Bombyx mori: one gene and its partner. Each later gene encodes a partner of the first gene's protein in a complex. Links are inferred from orthologs where the notes say so. Each region holds a gene or a part of one and is shown in the gene's direction. Other genes may lie near its edges. The genes, in order: dystrobrevin beta and beta-1-syntrophin.

The links.
Region 2: dystrobrevin beta (region 1) and beta-1-syntrophin share a complex: the UniProt entries of both Caenorhabditis elegans proteins name them as parts of the dystrophin glycoprotein complex. The link is inferred for Bombyx mori from reciprocal best matches to the Caenorhabditis elegans genes dyb-1 and stn-1.

Annotation. Positions count from the first base shown.
Region 1 is NC_085126.1:6,058,121-6,068,051, reverse strand, and holds part of dystrobrevin beta, read left to right. Parts: intron 1-761; coding exon 762-978; intron 979-1,410; coding exon 1,411-1,496; intron 1,497-2,128; coding exon 2,129-2,280; intron 2,281-2,450; coding exon 2,451-2,559; intron 2,560-3,682; coding exon 3,683-3,849; intron 3,850-3,922; coding exon 3,923-4,050; intron 4,051-4,393; coding exon 4,394-4,497; intron 4,498-5,236; coding exon 5,237-5,328; intron 5,329-5,635; coding exon 5,636-5,674; intron 5,675-6,397; coding exon 6,398-6,510; intron 6,511-6,898; coding exon 6,899-7,070; intron 7,071-7,617; exon of another isoform or gene 7,618-7,757; coding exon of another isoform or gene 7,758-7,813; intron 7,814-8,406; coding exon of another isoform or gene 8,407-8,595; intron 8,596-9,677; coding exon of another isoform or gene 9,678-9,882; exon of another isoform or gene 9,883-9,918; intron 9,919-9,931. Other genes in the region: uncharacterized protein LOC134200749, read right to left, coding at 7,758-7,813, 8,407-8,595, 9,678-9,882. UniProt on the Caenorhabditis elegans protein: Plays a role in cholinergic transmission and as a functional partner of dystrophin (dys-1), necessary for muscle maintenance. Required for localization of ctn-1 near dense bodies in muscle cells.
Region 2 is NC_085118.1:12,111,577-12,121,507, forward strand, and holds part of beta-1-syntrophin, read left to right. Parts: 5' UTR 1-549; coding exon 550-1,045; intron 1,046-3,890; coding exon 3,891-4,085; intron 4,086-4,697; coding exon 4,698-4,915; intron 4,916-5,182; coding exon 5,183-5,268; intron 5,269-5,416; coding exon 5,417-5,855; intron 5,856-6,716; coding exon 6,717-6,824; 3' UTR 6,825-9,931. UniProt on the Caenorhabditis elegans protein: Adapter protein that binds to and probably organizes the subcellular localization of a variety of membrane proteins. May link various receptors to the actin cytoskeleton and the dystrophin glycoprotein complex (DGC).

The DNA of each region.
Region 1 (9,931 bases):
TAAGGGTCTCTTTTTGCGATAGTGGTTATTAGACCCTTTAGTGTTGTAAATTGATTTACATAATATATAATAACTTGGCGTCGCTTGGTGGAGTAGGAGCTAGGGGTCTTGGGCATGACGTGGGAGGAGCTAGAACAGACTGCCTAAGACTGATGTAAATGGAAAATTTTTTTGAGCCCTATTCCCCAGCAGAGGGTAATACGAAAGAATGATGATGATGATTAATATATTGATTGGCCAAAGAAATATATTAGTGACAAATACATATGGCAACATTTACTTTCAGTAAACTGAAGTCTTATTGTCCTTAATTGCATAAATACTGCGGCAATACAGAGTTAATTAATGTAATATGATTAAAAGTTCTACCTAATTCCTATAAAGCAGTCTCAAAGTTGTTCTACTTTTAATGTAAATTTAAGTGCCAGATAGAAACTAGTATCAGAGTAAACAATGTAATGCTGGAAGATATATTTTTAACATCTACTGCTGAATTTGTTTATGAATAAGCAAGCTAAACTATTTACTACAATCTTAGTTTTGAATTTGTAGTTGTTTTGTCATTTATCTTCCCCTTTCCTTGAACTTTGAGTGATGGTGAAGAACGTAATGGTTTATGGTATATGGTTAAGGTTTTAATTTTCTTCTTCCACCTGTGTCTACCCAATTGTCCCTTCACATAGAGTCCATTCCCTTACTTAATATGGTTATAACTTATTGATGTCAATTTGCAAGTTCAATTAAGGATATTTGTATTTCAGTACATGTCATAGACATATGGAATGTGATAGAAGCATTTCGTGAGAACGCACTCAACACATTAGAGCCAACGGCCTGTGTAAACGTCACAAGATTAGAAACTTTAGTGTCATCTCTATATCATAATCTGAATAAACGCTTACCGCCTGCACACCAAGTTTCAGTAGAAGCATGCTCAGCGTTACTCTTAAACTGGCTATTGTCAGCATACAGTACTGGGTGAGTGATTTATTTTTATATCTACATATATTCCTGATAGAAGTTTATAGAAGAATATTAGAATTGAAGAGATAGGCGGTAGGCAGCGGCTTGGCTCTGCCCCTGGCATTGCTGAAGTCCATGGGCGACGGTAACTACTCACCATCAGGTGGGCCGTATGCTGGTTTGCCTACAAGGACAACAAAAATAGTATTTGATAGACTATCTTAAATTAAACACCCAAAAAAGAAAATCTGTGACCTATAGTTTGATGACTCATAAATTTTTATGTTACATACATTTCAGAGGAACAAAACAAAGCATCATTTTATGCTTACATTTACATTTTCAACTTAAATACTAGTCATATCTTTGTCTTTACTCTGATTATGTCACAAACATTATGTCTTGCAATTTTTTTGTATAATCAATTATTTAAAATTATTATTTCAGTGAGAATGTGGGAAAAATCAGAGTATTCTCAATTAAAGTGGCATTAGCTACAATGTGCGCCGGTAAACTAATGGATAAACTACGATGTGAGTATTTATTAGAAAAATTAAGTAATAAATAAACGACCGCAGATAAATTAACCAATAATGTATTATAAAATTATCTATGGGAATTACTGGTGGTATGTGATGTTTTTTAATCTAATACTTGTTCGTGTAAGTGATTTTAGTGTTAGACTGTAGCCCTCATTTAACATATTTAAGCAACAGGTAATAAATACATTCCTAAACCTATGTTGGTAATTTTTAGATTATTTGAAATTTTGGGCTGAAACATTATTATGTAAATTTAGATGTATGGAAGCAGAAATATATACCATACAAAACATATTTTGTAAATGCATACACATATACACATTGTATAATGTTTTCTTCATTGAAAACTTTTAAATTTGTGTAATAAATAATGCCAATCCAGACGGGGATGGTATTTGTTATTTCAATGCTCTATTATATTTATAGTGTTTCAATAAAGAGTAATTTATCTACCTTGTTTGGTTATGTCTTATATATGTATCAAGTATATCATAAAGTTAAAATATTACAGAATTATTAACAAAACATAAACAAAATAAAGTACACCATTTTAATAAAGTAGATATTAAATAGATATCTGCTTTCTTAAATCTTTTAGTTAGTTGAGTTTATATTTTCCACAGATATATTTTCGCAATTATCAGATGGTAATGGTCATTTATTGATGAAGAGACTGTCTGACTATCTACGTGAAGTACTGGCCTTGCCTGCAGCTGTGTATGAGTCACCATCGTTTAGTTATAATGATACATTGGCACTAACTATTTTTAATCAGGTATGTAAAAAAATTGGATCCTTTTTTTGTTAAACTTGAACTAATATATATAGCATTTTTTTTAAATATTATAGTACTTCTACTGTGGTTGTGTGTTGGTAGAAAAAAAAATTCATTTCAATTATTCTAGAACTTGAATTTGACTAATACTATGTTATATATTTTTTCAGAATGGAAAGATAACAGTGAATGACTTCCTAGACACATTAATGTCTGATCCTGGTCCTCCATGCCTGGTCTGGCTACCATTATTGCATCGCCTTGCCAGTGTTGAAAATGGTAAGTAACTTATAACTAGAAATAAGTACTGAAACAATTTTTGCTATCATCAAAATGAAGCCTAAATGCATTATCTTTTATTGTGTAGAGTTGTATGAGTTCACAGCCTATCTGGTGTTAAGTGATTATCGGGTTCACATCACATAGAATGCAGTCTCCAACCTAGACATAGATGCGGGTGTGATATATATTGGAATAACTCTTATACTACCATTCAAATTCAAGCTCATAAAATATTCTTGTTTTGTAATGAATGTTATCTGAAACCAAAACAGTTAACACTCGTTATAAATATAAATAAGATTATATCAAAAGTATTCTATTTCATTTTCTTATATGCTAAACCTTAAAAAACTCGATTTAGAGTCGCTTTTTTAATGCCACGAATTTTAAACATATTGAGGAGTAAGACAGACTTATTGGGAGTGTAGATAAAATTGAATGTATATGTTACGGTAAATGTACACTCTTGGGAAATGTACACTTTTACCGGTAAATGTGCACATTTGCCAAAAATGTTAGGTATATGTGAACTGAATATAATGTATATGTACCCATATGTGTATGTTTCCCAGTAAATGTGTACTCTTGCCTTCACGTTTTGGTAAATGTATACTCTTACCTTCGTGTTTTAAGAAAAGTTACAGTAAATACAAATAAATTTGTTGTAGCAGTAAAAATATATTTAAATAAACATAATACAAAAGGCTTTAATAACGAAAATTATTTTAATTAAAAAATGTAAATGACAAACAAAACATACATTTCTTTGCATATTATATAATATGTCGTAGGTTAGGTGAGGTGCCATGCTCACATTTACCAAAACGACATGGTCATTGTGAATTCAATGTACATTTACCTTCTTTGAATTTGTAAATGTTAGATGAATGCACATTACGATAAGAAATATTTGAGAAAATATCTCTAGATTAAGTTAATGTTACCTTAAGAATTTTTTCCTTCAGAATAAGAATAATCTGGAATAAACCTCGAGTGTTATGACTTGGAATTGCTTTTTTTTTATTACTTAGATGGGTGGACGAGCTCACAGCCCATCTTGTGTTAAGTGGTGTATCAATGTTCAGATGGAAATAACAAAGTTCGTTTTTGCATTCCCCAGTGGTGCACCCGATGTCGTGCAGCGCGTGCCGGCGCGGCTCGCTCACCGGCTTCCGGTACCGCTGCACGCGCTGCGCCAGCTGCACGCTCTGCCAGGACTGCTTCTGGCGGGGCCGCCCGGCGCCGCCGCACGCCGACGACCACGAGGTCAAGGAGTACGCCTCATACGTAAGTACCGCCGGACTGCTTGACGGCGACGCGGAGAGCGAAGTTATGTGAATTGTTGAATGAATTGTTCCAGAAATCGCCGTCGAAGCAGATCGGCGCTACGTTACGGAAGTCGTTCCGCTGCGTTCCCGAACGGGCCCGAGCCCAGCTGCCGCGGTACCCCGACCAACCGGAGAGGACGCTCAACCTCAGCCATATTGTGTTAGTGCATCAAACTATTTTTTATATATATTATTATATTATATCTGTGAAAGTGCACAAATGTGGGAAAATGAAAGCCGCTGGACGTAACTTCTCGGGATCGTCCGAAAAGTGCACTGAAAAAAATCTCAGTAAATGACCACCATTTTACTGAGATTATATTTCATCCCATATCATCTCATTTCATTTCATTTAATATCATTTCACTCCATATTATCATTTTTCATAAAAATTATGAGTATATATTAAAATAAGACTTTACCTAAAGGTCTTAGTTACCAGGTCATAAAAACCCTTTAAAAAAAAGTATTTGCAATATATTATATGAGAAGTGTGTTATCAGGCCTCCGTCCCCAGTGCCGGCCCACAACGGCTTCCCGGAGTACGTGGGTGGCTACGTCAACACGGGCTCTTTGGATTCGCGTTCGTCCCGATCCACACATCGCAGTACGTATCTATATTTATCTGTACTAGTGTTCGTTCGACGAACGAAATTCGACCGTAATGACTGATACCTCAAGACTTAGATTCATTTTATACATTACATAGGCTATGTAGCTTTTACATTTTGAAAAAAAAAAAAAAATTTTTTTACTGGTGGTAGGACCTATTGTGAGTCCGCCCTGCCTATTTCTGCCGTGAAGCAGTAATGCGTTTCGGTTCGAAGGGTGGGGCAGTCGTTGTAACTATACTTGAGACCTTAGAACTTATATTTCAAGGTGGGTGGCGCATTTACGTTGTATATGTCTATGGGCTCCAGTAACCACTTAACATCAGGTGGGCTATGAGCTCGTCCACCCATCTAAGCAATAAAAAAATAAAATTAAAAAAAATACCAAATATTTTATTATTAGTAATACTAGTCTATTTCTCATCTCGTTCATATTTCCATTGGTATTGGCTTCATTTATTGTATAGACGGGTGAACGAATTCACGGTCTACCTGGTGTTAAGTGGTTATTGAAGCAAATACAAATCATACCACGGAAGTCGCCGTTTATCCTTCTTGGCTACTCACACCCGTATTCTTAAGACATTACTTTGTAACTACCTCGAACTCACTCAAAGAAATTAGTATTTTTATTTCCAAGAATAATTTAAATCAATTTGGCAGCATTTATGACATGGAACTCTATAATAAGCCATTTATTAGAATTGAGAATTAAATAATACATTTATGCTGCAGGTATAGCAGAGCATCTATCGCGTGGAGTGGACGACGAGCACCGCCTCATAGCGCGGTACGCGGCTAGACTGGCCCAGGAAAACCGGACTATGGTAGGACGTGTGAATTAGAACACATCGACGCTTGAAAGGCAAAAGTGACTAAGCGACAATGCGTAAACTTTACATGAGAAATACATGAAAAAAAAAATTTTTAACGAATCTAGCTGTAGGATTGAAATGATTTTAATAGACCTAGAAATATATATTTTTTGCACATTGAATATGGTTATTGCCTATCATTTATGTACAAATCAGTTATTGTCGCTTAGTCACGTTTGGCTTTCAAGCGTCGATATTATATTTAAAATGTACTAAAATCCGTATCTCTACTCACAATTATATGTTTTTCATTTCATAGCCTCGTGCTGGAAGATCAGCCTCCTTGACCCCTGAGTTGGTACGTAGACGTTTTGTACAAAATATAGTGATAATTCAATATTTTTGAAGTGAAACTTCTAATGCGACTTCCAACAAGGTAGCGTTAAACGTTTAACGCAGCCATGAAATAGAAAGAGACAGAGCGAGAATGAATGCGCGGCACTCGAGCGCACGCGCGTAGTATACCTGTTACAGGCCAGCGCGAGCGTTAGCAACGAGTTGCGTCCAATAGTCTAATGAAGTATTTAAAATATATATATATATTTATTTTTCTAGCTATAATTTAAAATATATATAAAATAAATGTTGAAGTTGTCGCATCGCTTATACACAGCATTCCCTATTACAAGAGCAATCTCATGTTAGGATGAAAAATGAAGAAAACCACAATACTTCACATCGAAAAAGAAGTTTCACTTCATTCAGGTGCATCAAAAATTGGTGGTAGGACCTCTTGTGAGTCCGCGTGGGTGGGTACCACCGCCCTGCCTATTTCTGTCGTGAAGCAGTAATGCGTTTCGGTTTGAAGGGTGGGGCAGCCATTGTAACTATACTGAGACCTTGGAACTTATATCTCAAGGTGGGTGGCGCATTTACATTGTGGACGTCTATGGGCTCCAGTAACCACTTAACACCAGGTGGGCTGTGAGCTCGTCCACCCATCTAAGCAATAAAAAAAAATCAAGTTGGGCGCGCACCGTTTTTTATGACCGTTTTACTAATTAAATTATGTACGTTCTAGGGTCGTTCGTCGTCCGAAGGTTCGGAAGTGGACGCGGCTCGACAACAGCGCGAGCTCATCTCACAGCTGGAGGCTAAGAATCGAGAAATTATGAGGGAAATAGCGAGACTCAGGTGGGACCTCCCGAAACTCTACATAGTTGATGTACTGAATTCAGACTATAGATTCAAACATCGTTCGTCTGATTGAATTCGATGTCTAGTACAATTAATTTTCGTTTAGTGAGTTGATATAATTTTTGCTTTGTCCATCGGGAGGGTTATGTCAGTAGTCACAAATGGCAATGGGCAGACGTGTTCTGGACTGGAGACCACGTACCGGTAAACGCAGCGTTGGGCGTCCCCTTGCCCATTGGACCGATGACTTGCGGCGATATGCTGGGAAAGATTGGATGCGGAAGGCGGAGGATCGTTAATTGTGGTGGACCATGGGAGAGGTCTACATCAAGCAGTGCAGAGATACAGGCTGATGATGATGAGTTGATATAATGTGTTGCTACAGACGCCAACAGGAAGCCGAAGCCGGTGCTGGTTCGACGTCGGCCCCGCCGCTGGTGTCGGAGCTGAGAGCCCTCAGACAACGGAAGGACGAACTCGAAGGACATCTCTCCTCGCTTCAGGACTCCAGGAAACACCTAATGCAGCAGCTCGAGGGACTCATGAGGATGCTGAAGGTAAATATTGGTTTAATAGATATTGGTTTTCAAATGTATTATTAAAATATCACGCTGTATAGTGGGTTACGTACAGAGTACAGGGTGTGGTTTTTTATAATAGGAATTCTTACATAGTGGCATATAGACCTAAAAATGTAACAAGTGTGAACATAAGTGATCTTAATCAATAGTGAATTATCTGTGCGTCATAAGTCCGTTATAAGTAACTATAAAAACATGTCTTATCTATATATATAAAAATGAATTGCTGTTCGTTAGTCTCGCTAAAACTCGAGAACGACTGGACCGATTTGGCTAATTTTGGTCTTGAATTATTTGTGGAAGTCCACAGAAGGTTTAAAAGGTTTAGGTAAATATGAAAATGCTCGGAATTATATAAAAATAATAATTTTGTTTTCCTTTTGATGTGTATCCCCCGTCGGATGGATTCCTTTGGTTTGTTTTAAGTTTATTTTATACAAAAGTTTGGGTCTTTTATTTATCGATTGAGGCACTACGAAGTCTGCCGAGTCAAATAGCTTATAATAAATAAAATATTACCACATTTAATTTAGTCGTATAATTTATTCAAATCAAATCAAAAAAAAATTATTCAACATAAATGAAAGTACAAAATGAAAGTATACAATTATTAAGAAAAAAGAAAGAGAAAAATATTTTTTCCTGTTAATTTTGTATAAATTATTATTCGGAATGTTTATTACAATATTTCTTCTTAGCGTGTCCGGGTTTGTGGAATTCTGTAAAAAGAGCAGAATTTTTTAATATTAGACATTTAATTATACTACGTTTGGAATATATTATATAACGGCCGTCTGGTGCTGTGGTAATTGAAATGGTCACTAGACAAGGGGGTCGCGAGTTCGAATCCCGCCAAGGGAAGATATTTGTATGATAAATATAAATATCTTTTCCAGGGTTATGGATGTATATTAAATATATGTATTTGTATAATAGAAAATCTTACATTTATTTCCGTTATCTGGTACCTGTAACACAAGTTCTTTACGAACTTAGCACGGGACCAGTTAACGTGGCGTGATTGTTAGTAAATATTTATTTATTATTATTTATTATATTTTATGCTTTCAAATAGAACACCTAGAATTGTCAGCATCACCACTATCGACTCGCATTGTGATACCTAATAGCTCTTATAACATAATTACTTATGTAACTGCACTTTTTTTATTGCTTATATGGCTGGACGAGCTCACGGCCCGCCTAGTGTTAAATGGTTACCGGACGTGCTTAGGGCGATGTGAACTAACTTCAGTATCAGGATAGTGTTCATAAATATAAATATTGTAACCAAAATCTAATGTATACAAACTGGATTGCGTCCATTGCGCGTCGTGGTCATTCGGTGTAATCGGAAACAGCTTGAACGGGTGATCTAGAGATCTTTCTTCTTCAGACGATTTTTCTTCGCTTATGTGTTCATTCCAATGCGGCTCGTTCTCCATACATAGTTTGAATACTCGCGCCAAATCTTGTAAACACTCATATGTGTTGCCGCCCTCTGAAATAAAATTAAAATCAGGCTTCGAATATAGATGTGTTATTTTAGAAATGAGTTTTGTATGAAATTCTGATTTTCTAACTTTAGTGAATGAATTAAAAATAAAATTCAGTATACAACCGTAATGAGTTTATTAACAATTTGAACGTGAACCGTCGATAGATAGACTCTCTATTAATGCGTATAAAATGTGGAGCGTCAGAATATCGACTATTTGCGCAGTTTGATTATAGGTATTAGATATCGGTACGTGTATCGGACGTGTCTTAACGCGAGCGTTAAGAACACATTGTTTTAAACCAAAACAATGTGTTTGCATTAATAATTTACAAGAGCAATATATTATATTATAATATTACCCGAATGTCTCGCATCTATAATGAACTGGCAAAGTCGTCAAAAGAGTTGCACATTTTTACTTATAGGTTAGGCCTTAAGCACGAAATTACGGATCCTCCCGATCAATTAACGCTGCTCTTAGGTACCTCAAGCACCGGTCACCGTCCTCGCCGAACCCGTCGCTTGCGACGAAGGGCTCGACGAGGAAGTTAACCCATAGACACAGCCCACTGAGTTTCTCGCCGGATCTTCTCAGTGAGTCGCGTTGCCGATCCGGTGGTAGATTCTGCGAAGCACTGCTCTTGCTAGGGCCAGTGTTAGCAACACTCCCGGTTTGAGCCCCGTGAGCTCACCTACACGTTAGGGTGACGCTGATATAGCCTCTTAAGGCTATCAGCATAGGTAGGAAAAAAAGTAGGCTAGTGACATTTATAAAATTTTTCAAGGGCATCCTCTATGTTAATGTTAAGAGTAGATTAAGTAGTCTAATTGTTTAATGTATATTGTGAGTGAAATTATTTTCTTATATTATAAGTTAGATTAGTTCTCGTTATCATAATTGTAAGGGACTTTGTAAACACACTCAGCACATTTGTTTGGTCGGCTTATGCTACAAGCCCGATTTTTTACTTGTTATCACTTATTGTGTATCTTTTAAGCTTATGATGTGTATTGTGTGTCTAATAAATAAATAATTATATGGTGACAAAAAATAATCGCCTCCGAAGCTAAAACGGACTCACCTCTCGAAGTAGAATCACTCAAGCCGTCATCGTGTCGCATGTCGTCATTAAAGCAGTCCGTAAATGATTTCAAATAATTTGAAGTACATTTTATTTGTTTTTCTGAAGTCACATTTCTTGCGTCCGAAATACGTGCGTCTTTCGTTTGAGGAAGACTAGTGACGTAGAACAAACCGGTAACAAAGATATAAATCGGATAGTACATCCCGATGGCACTCCGCTAAGAGGTTTGGGTTAGAATAAAAATGCTCTTT
Region 2 (9,931 bases), on another chromosome or scaffold:
ACGGGATGTTATTTCTTCACCGTGGAAGCTATTCGTAAACATTTCATAAAGACTTATTTCATTACTTGTTACTTGGCTGCGAATTGTGAACACAAGCACAGTCGCATCGCTTAGGAATCGATACAAAAGCACCGGACATTTTATTCTTACGGCCACATCGACTTCTTTAAGATTAAATCTAAGATCTGACTTGATTATTTATTTAATGTTTATTTTACGTTATAACTCTGAATTGAATTATTTTTAATATAAAATGTTAATTTCATTGAAAATTCTATTTAGGTATTTCGAGTAATCTGTATCATTTGCGTGTATGACGATTTAAAAAGTTGTGGAATTGTCAAAATATATTGATTGTTGGACATTTGCGCAAATAAATTCTTATTTTGAGATGAACACTGAGTTTCATTTACAAATCTGGTTTTTAAAAATACCTCATGTTAGTTGTTGTTAAACTGATATTCATGCTGTTTTTCTTGAGTGATCTGTATTCTTTTAAGTCATCATTCCATTGAAGAGTTAACACTCTTCAAGCAATTATAGTAAATTATGGTGGAAAACGGTGCCTCGAGTGGTGGCAGTGATAGTCCTAGTGCAACATGTGTTCGTTCTGGTCTTCTAGAGACGTTAGTCCGTGGTGTTTGGTATCGCGTTCATTGTTCATTAGAAGACGATTACCTGAGCGTCTGTCTCGATGATGGGTATGATGCGACAACGACTTTGAATGGCACTCTGAACAACAACAACGTCGAAACTCCGAACAGCGACTTCGCAGAGGTACCCGAAGCAATTGCAAACCAAAAACGTTTAGTACAAGTTGTGAAATCGGACAACAACGGGCTTGGTATATCAATAAAAGGTGGAATCGAAAATAACATGCCAATATTGATATCAAAAATATTCAAGGGTATGGCAGCCGACTTGACTGAACAGTTGTACGTTGGTGATGCTATATTGTCTGTAAACGGTGAGGATCTCAAAGATGCGACACACGAAGAAGCTGTAAAGGCATTGAAGAGAGCTGGAAAAATGGTACAACTGGAAGGTGAGTCCTTATCATATCTTTTGGTTAAATATTTATTATTTATTGGGTCTCTTAATTTAAAATATGTTATAAATGAACAAATTGAGAATAGTCAACGTCATTGATGCCTCTAGTCATTCATTGACCTCAATAAAAATAGCCCTGCATTACACATAATGTCAATTGGCTTAATTAGTGTAGTGTATGTATGCTTAATTGGTTTTTAAATGTTACATTAGAGGAAAAGTAAAAAGATATTAAGGTACTAATATAGAATAGAATATAAGTGGTAATGAAGGAAAATATGATGAAGGATGTAGGATGAGTCAGTTAAAAAAACTCAATTGTTTGTTAACACTTCAGTTTGTCGTCAGATTTCCAGTAAAATATTTTTGCTTTAAAATATTGATGTGGTGATTTCGAATATCAAATACTAGTAATAGTAACTAACAACAACTAACAAATACTAGTAATTTTGTTTTTATGACCAGCTGTATGTGAATGTATATCTGATCTCTTGGTCTTACAAGGGCGGGATGATAAGTAACTACCCTAACAATAAAACACTTAACTTTTCGTGATAAAATTAACTTTATTTTTCGACATAGTCTCCGTGAACCTCTATGCACTTATTCCATCTTCGTTCTAAAGCAGTAATGCCTTCCATAAAATGATTTCTTTCGAGGCCTGCAAAATACTCCTCTACAGCGGCTATGACTTCATCATTTGTTGCAAATTTCTGTCCGCCCAAAAAAGTTTTGAGCTTAAGGAATAAGTGGAAGTCTGATGGCCCTCTCGGACTGGGTGAATTTCTCACCTTCCGGGCGACGCAGGTGCTCATGGGCCACGGCTGTTTCGGCCGCTACTTGCACCTCGTCGCCCGGAGGGAGCCGACGCCGAAGTGTCATCACTTCAGTGGCTGCAATGAGGATACGGCGGAGCACACGCTCACGTAGTACCCCGCTTTCGCAGAGCAGCGCTGCGACCTCGCTGCAAAAATAGGACCGGACTTGTCGCTTCCGACTGTCGTGGCTAAGATGCTTAGCAGCGACGAGTCCTGGCAGGCGATGATCGACTTCTGCGAGTCTGTCCACCATCACGCAGAAGGAGGCGGCTGAACGGGAGAGGGAGAGCTCTTCTTCCCTTTGGCCGCCGTGCCGCCACCGCCGAGCCGGAGGTCGGAGAAGGGCGTTTGGCCAGCTCCGGCCCCTATGAGGAGGCAGTCTCCTCCGGGTGATGGTCACGGGGCGTCCTAAGGGGGTTGAGACTGCGCCGCACGCTACGTTACTTTAGCGCGCTGGCACCAGGAAGACGGGACGACGCGTCGCCGGCTGCGGCCTGCGATGTGGTCAGCATTGTCGTCGCCGAACGTACCGTGGAAGAGCAACCCGGTTCCGAGTTGGTCCTGTCCCAGCGGAGTATCCCGGAACACCAGCGGCATCGCCCGGGCGGCCTGGTAGGGCCGTCGTGCCGCGGAAACTGTCGTCGTTGGTCGTCGACTATCGCCTCGACGACCAGTTGGTCGGGCGTCCTCCAAGTGGCGTCGCGGGCCTGGTTGTAGTGTTGACCGCGAAAACCCCCCAATTCTGATCGGGTTCTGACCCCGGACGGAGCCGATCTCTGTCGGGTGTAAGAGTGCAGGGGAGTCCTTTACTGCGGTAGGGCCCTAAAATTCCTTGGACCCGCAGTCTGCTCCCAACACCTGCACATCGTCAAGTCCCACATACCCCGCGAGCCACCTAAGCGCGGGGACCTCGTCGGAGGTTCCCACCCCCGGCCCGAAAAAAAAGCCCCTTAGGCTACAAATAATTAGGTAGAGAAAAAAAATATATGAGACTGTATTTGAGATACCAGGTAGGTCCTACTCTAAATAATCTTTTGCACAAAGATATACAAATACCCACAAGATTATATTTATACATTCTGATTGGTATTTATTTATTTATTTAATTTACTTCAGATTTTACATCCATATTACACGTCTTAATTACATTGCATTAACATTTAACATTTAACATTGAATAACAGTTAGTAAATATATTATTATGCATTTTTATGTAATTAAAGACAATTTAGTTTGCTTTTTCTCAATTGCCATTATTAACTTGGTATTTTCAGTGAAAAACTCAGATATTAACTATTCCTTGTAACTCTTGATAGTGATAATCTGCATATCTATTTAGTGATTTTTCATGAAATATATTAAATAATACCATTAAACTGAAAACGGCTTTCAAGTAAACTGTAAATAACATAACAGTTAACAATGTTGCAGAACATCTAACTCTCATCTATCGCTCTGGGACACTCTTATTATAATAGATTATTTTATTGTTTAAGTAGGTCATTGAGCTCACGGCCCATCTGGTGTTAAATAGTTAATGGAGCTCATGGACATCAAAAATTCTGCCACTTATGTCGAGACATGAGTACTTTTTGCAGTCCACATCTGTCCCCACCCTTCACACTGAAACGCATTACTGCTTCACGGTAGAAATAGGCAGGACGGTGGTACTTACCCGCGCGGGCTCCGGATGATATTCCGGGAACCGTGGAAGTCTAGGAAAGTCAATTGTGAACATTTCTTTAGTACGTATTTCATTGGTACCTGGCTGCGGCACCCGAACACCGACACAGTCGCATCACTCGATATGAATGCACCGGGCGTCTTAACCTTCAGACCACGACGAATTTATATTGCATTGCATTGCATTGTTATAAGTGATTGTAGTGCAATGTGCATTTTTTTGTTAGCCATTTAATCATTTCTGAAAATATCTATAATTATTTGTCAGTTTAGGCAATTATAAATTTCTCATTTAAGAACAATAGTCAATTTTCCAATTAAATTGTGTATCCTTTACAGTGAAATATCTCCGTGAAGTGACACCGTACTTCCGTAAGGCATCCATTATAAGTGAAGTAGGATGGGAGCTACAACGTGGGTATATGGCAGACACACCACCGTCGCCACCATCTCCACGCCGTCGACGGGCAGACACTCGTTATGTACCACTGTTAATGGCATGCGTTGCCAAGAATCTCCGTCATAATGACCCAGGTCAGTTTTTAATAATAATAATAACAACTGGCCACAAATTACGCGCCGTCATCTTGGCCCATATTTAGGATTACCTCTGTTATGGGTGGGTACCTGATAACTGATAAACATACATGTTTATAAATATATGCATATACAGATAACAAACACCCACAGAAAGAACAAACAAACCTGTTCGTCAGACAATGCTTGCCCGATGTGGGCATCGAACCCGTGACCCTCTGCCTCTGACAACAGTCAGGGCCGCTAACTATTGCACCACCGAGTCATTCACTCACTTTAAAAAAGTATATCTATATCTATACTAATATATAAATCTACAGTGGTTTTTACGGATGTTCCGTTATAACTACTAAACCCTGCATCCGATTGACTTGAAACTTGGTATCCATGTAGAAAATACATGTACTTAATGGATAGGCCAATATTTATATGAGTGTTGGACTCTCTACACTAGTTGCGGGGCCGTTAATGATAAGAATCTTTGTGGAGCTGAGAAATAATAATTTTAATTTTAATTTTAATTTTAACTGCCTAACGTAGTGGACTGGGACAGCTAGTATGTATATATTTTTAAGGTTTCAAAATATTTTGATGTAATGCAATTTTCAGAGGATCGCACAATCGAAATATATTCACCGGACGGCGTCCACGCATTAGCATTACGGGCCAGTTCAGCGGCCACAGCGTCAGGGTGGCATCGCGCGCTACATGCAGCCGCACGTCGGGCTGCACGCGCCGCTCTTGCTCGCGCCAGGCCGAGACTTCGCCCTCTTGTAGGCGATGTGCGATATGCTGGTTGGATGGCAAGGCGCCCACCGCAAGATCATGTAAGAAAATTAATCAATGTAGGATGGGTAAGGACGGAACGCATGTAAAGCGTGTGGAATGGAGTGTTAAGGTATGAGAAAAAACGGTAAGAAAGGGACAAAAGAATGAAAGACAAAAGCAAGATGGCGAGGACGATTGAACGAGCGAGGTGTGAAAAAGGTGTCAGTTAATTTTGAATTATAATAATAGAGAAGATTTGAAAAGAGAATAATAAAACTAAAAAAGTGGAATAATTGTATGAATCGTGAATGTTCTGTTAAAAATAGATGAGCGCTTCAGGAGGGTCTGACAGCTCCGACGAGACTGAAGGCTGGCAGCCAACATTCGTTGCAATCACAGACAGAGAGTTAAGGTGAGCTTAATAGCGCACATAGTGCTTTTAAAATTTTGCCATTTTGCAGTGGTGTCGATGTGGGCTTACAACAGAGAGATTTTTTTTTTTAAATTTAACATAATGGTTTATGTGAATTTTTTGGAGTATAATGGTCGTCATTGAACAGGCTGTATGAGGCGGCGCCGTGGTCGGCGGAGGCATGGTGCGCGCCGGCGGAGAGCCTGCGGCTGGCGGCGACGCGGCTGGCCTGGTGGCGGCGAGCTGGGGCGGGCGGGGCGGCGGCGCTGGGGCTGCGGGCCGGGTGCGTGGACGGGCTGGTGCAGCGAGCCCTGCGCGCGGACTCGCCGCACGACCTGGCGGCCGCCGCGTCCGCGCTGGTGGAGGGGGCGCACGCGGCGGTGCGAGCGCAGCCCGAGTTCACGTTCCGCTGCTCGGTGGGCGGGGCGGCGGCGCGGCTGGCGCTGGGGGCGGCGGGCGTGTGCGTGTGGGAGGCGGCGGGCTCGCTGGGCCGCGCGCTGTACCGCCGCCCGCTGCACGCACTCCGCGCTTCCGCTGACGACGACAACAACAAGCTCTGGCTGCACTTCGCTGACGACGACACGTTGGTTAGTACCTATTGCTGCTCCTTTGTAAATAAGACTTGAATAGGCATGTACCGTGCTATTTAAAGATTGAAGTTAAATTTCTTTTGGGCACGAAGAGAGATAAATGAGATTTATTGAAGTGAAACTTCTAATGCGACATTCAACAAAATTGTGTTAAACGTATAACGCTACCATGGAATAGAAAGAGACAGAACGAAAGTGAATGCGTGGCACTCGTACGCATGCGCGTAGTATACCTGTTACAGACCATCGCGAGCGTTAGCAACGAGTAGCGTCCGATATTTTAATGAAGCATTTCAAATTATAGCATCTATAATTTAAAATATATATATTAAAAATGTTGAAGATGTCGAATCTCCTATACACCACATTACCTATTACAAGAGCAATCTGATTTAAGGATGAAAAATGAAGAAAACCACAATACTACACATCGAAAAAGAAGCTTCACTTCATTTACGTGCACCAAGTTGCAAGCGCACCGTTTTTTTTTATTGCTTAGATGGGTGGACAGGCTCTGAATATTTCTGAATAAATTTCTATATATTTTAATGTATATTCTGAATACATATCTAAATATTTGATCAAGGAAACCCGTTGAAAGTGGCATATTTCACGTGGCGTAGCATATTTGTGTATTTGTTACGTTTGATCGAAAACGGTGATGCAAAGTGAAAATGTTTACCCAAACACATCACCAAACTGAAGTGCCAAACTAAAACTAAACGTTTCTGATGCAACCGAGACAGAGATGACTTATATATTTTCTCGTTTAAAACCTATCACTTCTGTCACATCCGGGTTTTATGCGCGTTTGTGTATATTTTTCATTAAAATGCGTTTTCCGTGTAATTTTGCCAGGAGCTAGAAATGGACGGTAGCCCGAAGCCGGCTGTGTTCATTCTGCACAATTTGCTGTCGGCTCGCGTCCACTCGCTGCCGGGAGATCCGACACCGAACCCGCTATAACCCGAACAATTTAAAGAAGGCATCAAATCATCATCGAACGATAACAACTGCTCGTCGAAGCTGCTCTCATCGATATGATCAGGGTTGTACTTGTTTTGATTTGTATGATCAACGCATTGGATCGTACTCAGTTCGAAATTCAAATTGGATCGCACTCGACTCGATTTGTAGGGTTGGTTTGTAAAATAACTAGGTCGTAGTTTAGTAGAAAGGATTCAGTCAAGGATTATACCAAACGAACTCTTTGGAACATAGTAGTTTTGCAACAATTATCAATGAACGAAGGTTTTTTTTTACACTGGCAACCCATGCGACTAAAACAAAAATATATCATTCTGCCGCGCCAATAAAGAAACGAATCTAAAATGGCGTCTATGTACCTGCACTGACAAATAGTAGGGTAAACAAATAAAAAGAAAGATAGAAAGAAAAAGTTGTTTATTGTAAAAAAATAAAAATAAAAACAAATGAGAAAGTACTTTACTTTACTTTGGTGCCCTGGCAGAGGGGGAGGTGTCTCATATAGGATGCAACTTGCGTAGACACTTTTGCTGCCAGTCAGCTAAGTAGCACAACTCGAAAGTGAAAAAACTCGAACTCAACAACAAAGTCGAAACTAATATTTTTTTTTGCATGCAGTACGCGCCGTGTGCGACTAAAGACAGCAATAGTTTAGACTGAGAGCGCATGATCGCCGCTGCCATTTTAGATTCGTTTCTTTATTGGCGCGGCTTATAGAAGTAAATTTAAAATAATTGTAATGTGTGCTATTTGAGTGTGGCGGTTTGAGCCTTTTCTGCTAAATGCCGGTCTATTTTAAATATCGGTACAATAATCGACAAATACGCTCGGTCGTGGTTTCAGAACCTGTAAAAGCCGGCTCTGTGAAATATGTAATAAGTAGTAGCAGATCCAAGGGAATTAATACTATTCCTATAATGTCCTTGTGTACTCTTAACACTTTTGGCCTAATAATAAAAAATCCTATATTTAAATAAGGAACAATTGAAAGCTTAATTTAACATTTAACGTCAGTTTTCATTTAATATTAACCGACGAAGATAAAACAAAATCGAATAATTATATACTCGTATTATGAATTAAATTGAGGAATACATAATGCCACCTAGGCTACATTAAGCCGAAGTTAAAAAGAGTATAAAAATCTGCGAATCTTCTAAATAAATACTCAATAAAATTATATAATGTATTCCGTTGAAATTGAATCTCTTTTATCAAAATAAACGTATCTGTGATTGTGCACAATTTATCAAACGAAATTTCTGCATATCTGAAGCGAATTCTCAATTCACTCACTTCACTAGTATAGTATATACAATAAAACAGATTGGTTTTTTGCATAGTTTTGACTGTATATTTGTATGGCTAATCTGTAATAGTAAACTTTTCGGCATATACATGTATCTATTTTATATCATTCATGAAAAATTGTATTCAGGATGGTTTCGAGATTCGATCGCGTTATCTATTTAAAAAAACATTTAATTAAAGCTAAAGCAAAGAGTTGCGATTTGGCACCGTTGACACTTGACAAAGTAGCCACTTGACACTTGACACTTGTAAGCGATTGACAGAGACTAACGCAAAGGCACATTTTCTGGCCATGATTACCTACATATACATTCGTGATTACAAGTCTGAATGCCAAGAAAATGCAAAATTCCAGGGGGGGCGTGTTCTAAGACGTTACATCGATTCCGCTCAACCGAATTTGAGCAATTCATCATGCTTATAAAGAATCTCCATCTGACATCCCTGGTTTTAGTCACACGAGATTAGGAACTGACTGTCGAAGTTAAAGTATGTTTGGAAATCCCCTAAGGGATTCCCGGAGAAACCACGTTTAAAAATCAATATCACAATTAAAAAAAAATCAGTCTAGAGGATTGTTGAGTTAAAATCTAGCTACAAATACATAGAATATCGATCTCGGGAATTCCTGGATAATATCACCAACAACGTGTTCTTTGAGTCGAGGCAGCGAAAGCTTATATACTGCGTGTTAAAAAGATCACTTCCGAAAATGAAGATAGACGATAGTATTAATGACACCTTTGATGATGGGACGGAAAAAAATCGATACTGATTAAAAAAAAAAAACATTTTTATAGCGTATTATTAGCATTATTTACGCTCCTTTATGTTAGTACAGATAAATGAAACGATAGTTTTATAGAAAATACATTACTTTACTAAAAAAAACCAGCAATGAAACACAAAATAAATAACAGCTGATGCTCGGATCAACGAACGCCCAGGCGTTGCGTTTCTTTTACACGCACACCGGCGCGAAGCTGATACCGCGCTCCCCAAGAATTACTTTGTTTACTATCGTCTGTCTTCGTTTTCGGAAGCGGTCTCCTAACACCCAGTGTAGGTCGGTAACGTCTTAGAATATGAGTGTTAGATTAAATCAGCGGTCGGGGAACTTTTTTAATTATTACACCAAAATATTTTTTGTGTAAGTTGATATCACCTCATGGCGAAGAACAAAACAAAAACGAAATCGCTTCCATTTAGCATCTTTCATATTATAAGCCCCCATGATAATTTTTAAAAGAAAACAATAACAAAAAATTTAACGTTTCTAAAGAAGTTTCACTTCAATATATATTTTTTACTCACAAAAGTTTCATTTTTACCCCCAAAATTTCATTTTACCCCATTTGGGGTAATTTACCCCGGTTCCCCGACTGCTGGATTAAATTGACGCTATTTCCAGAATTTTGAAGAGATATTAAAATTTTAAATTATTCGTAACCGGTGAAAGTAATTTTTTAATGTGTGGTAGTACTGATATACAAACGTATGTAAATAACATTTATCATTCAAGTACATGAACACCACAACCAAAACGCAACATAATAATTAAACCAGTGCTTGTTTTCGTGTTTGGTTAAAGGTTGAGATCTTTGAAAACAGCTCCGGTAGTAAGTATGAGATAACCTCCGTTAGTAAGTATGAGTTACCTATAGGTTGCTGTATATTCAAATCTATAAATGATTGATAATAAAACAGTGAAGTACTAATTGTAGTAATTGTGTGGTCGAATCTCATGGTATCTTTTAAGATGCTCAAAGCGATGA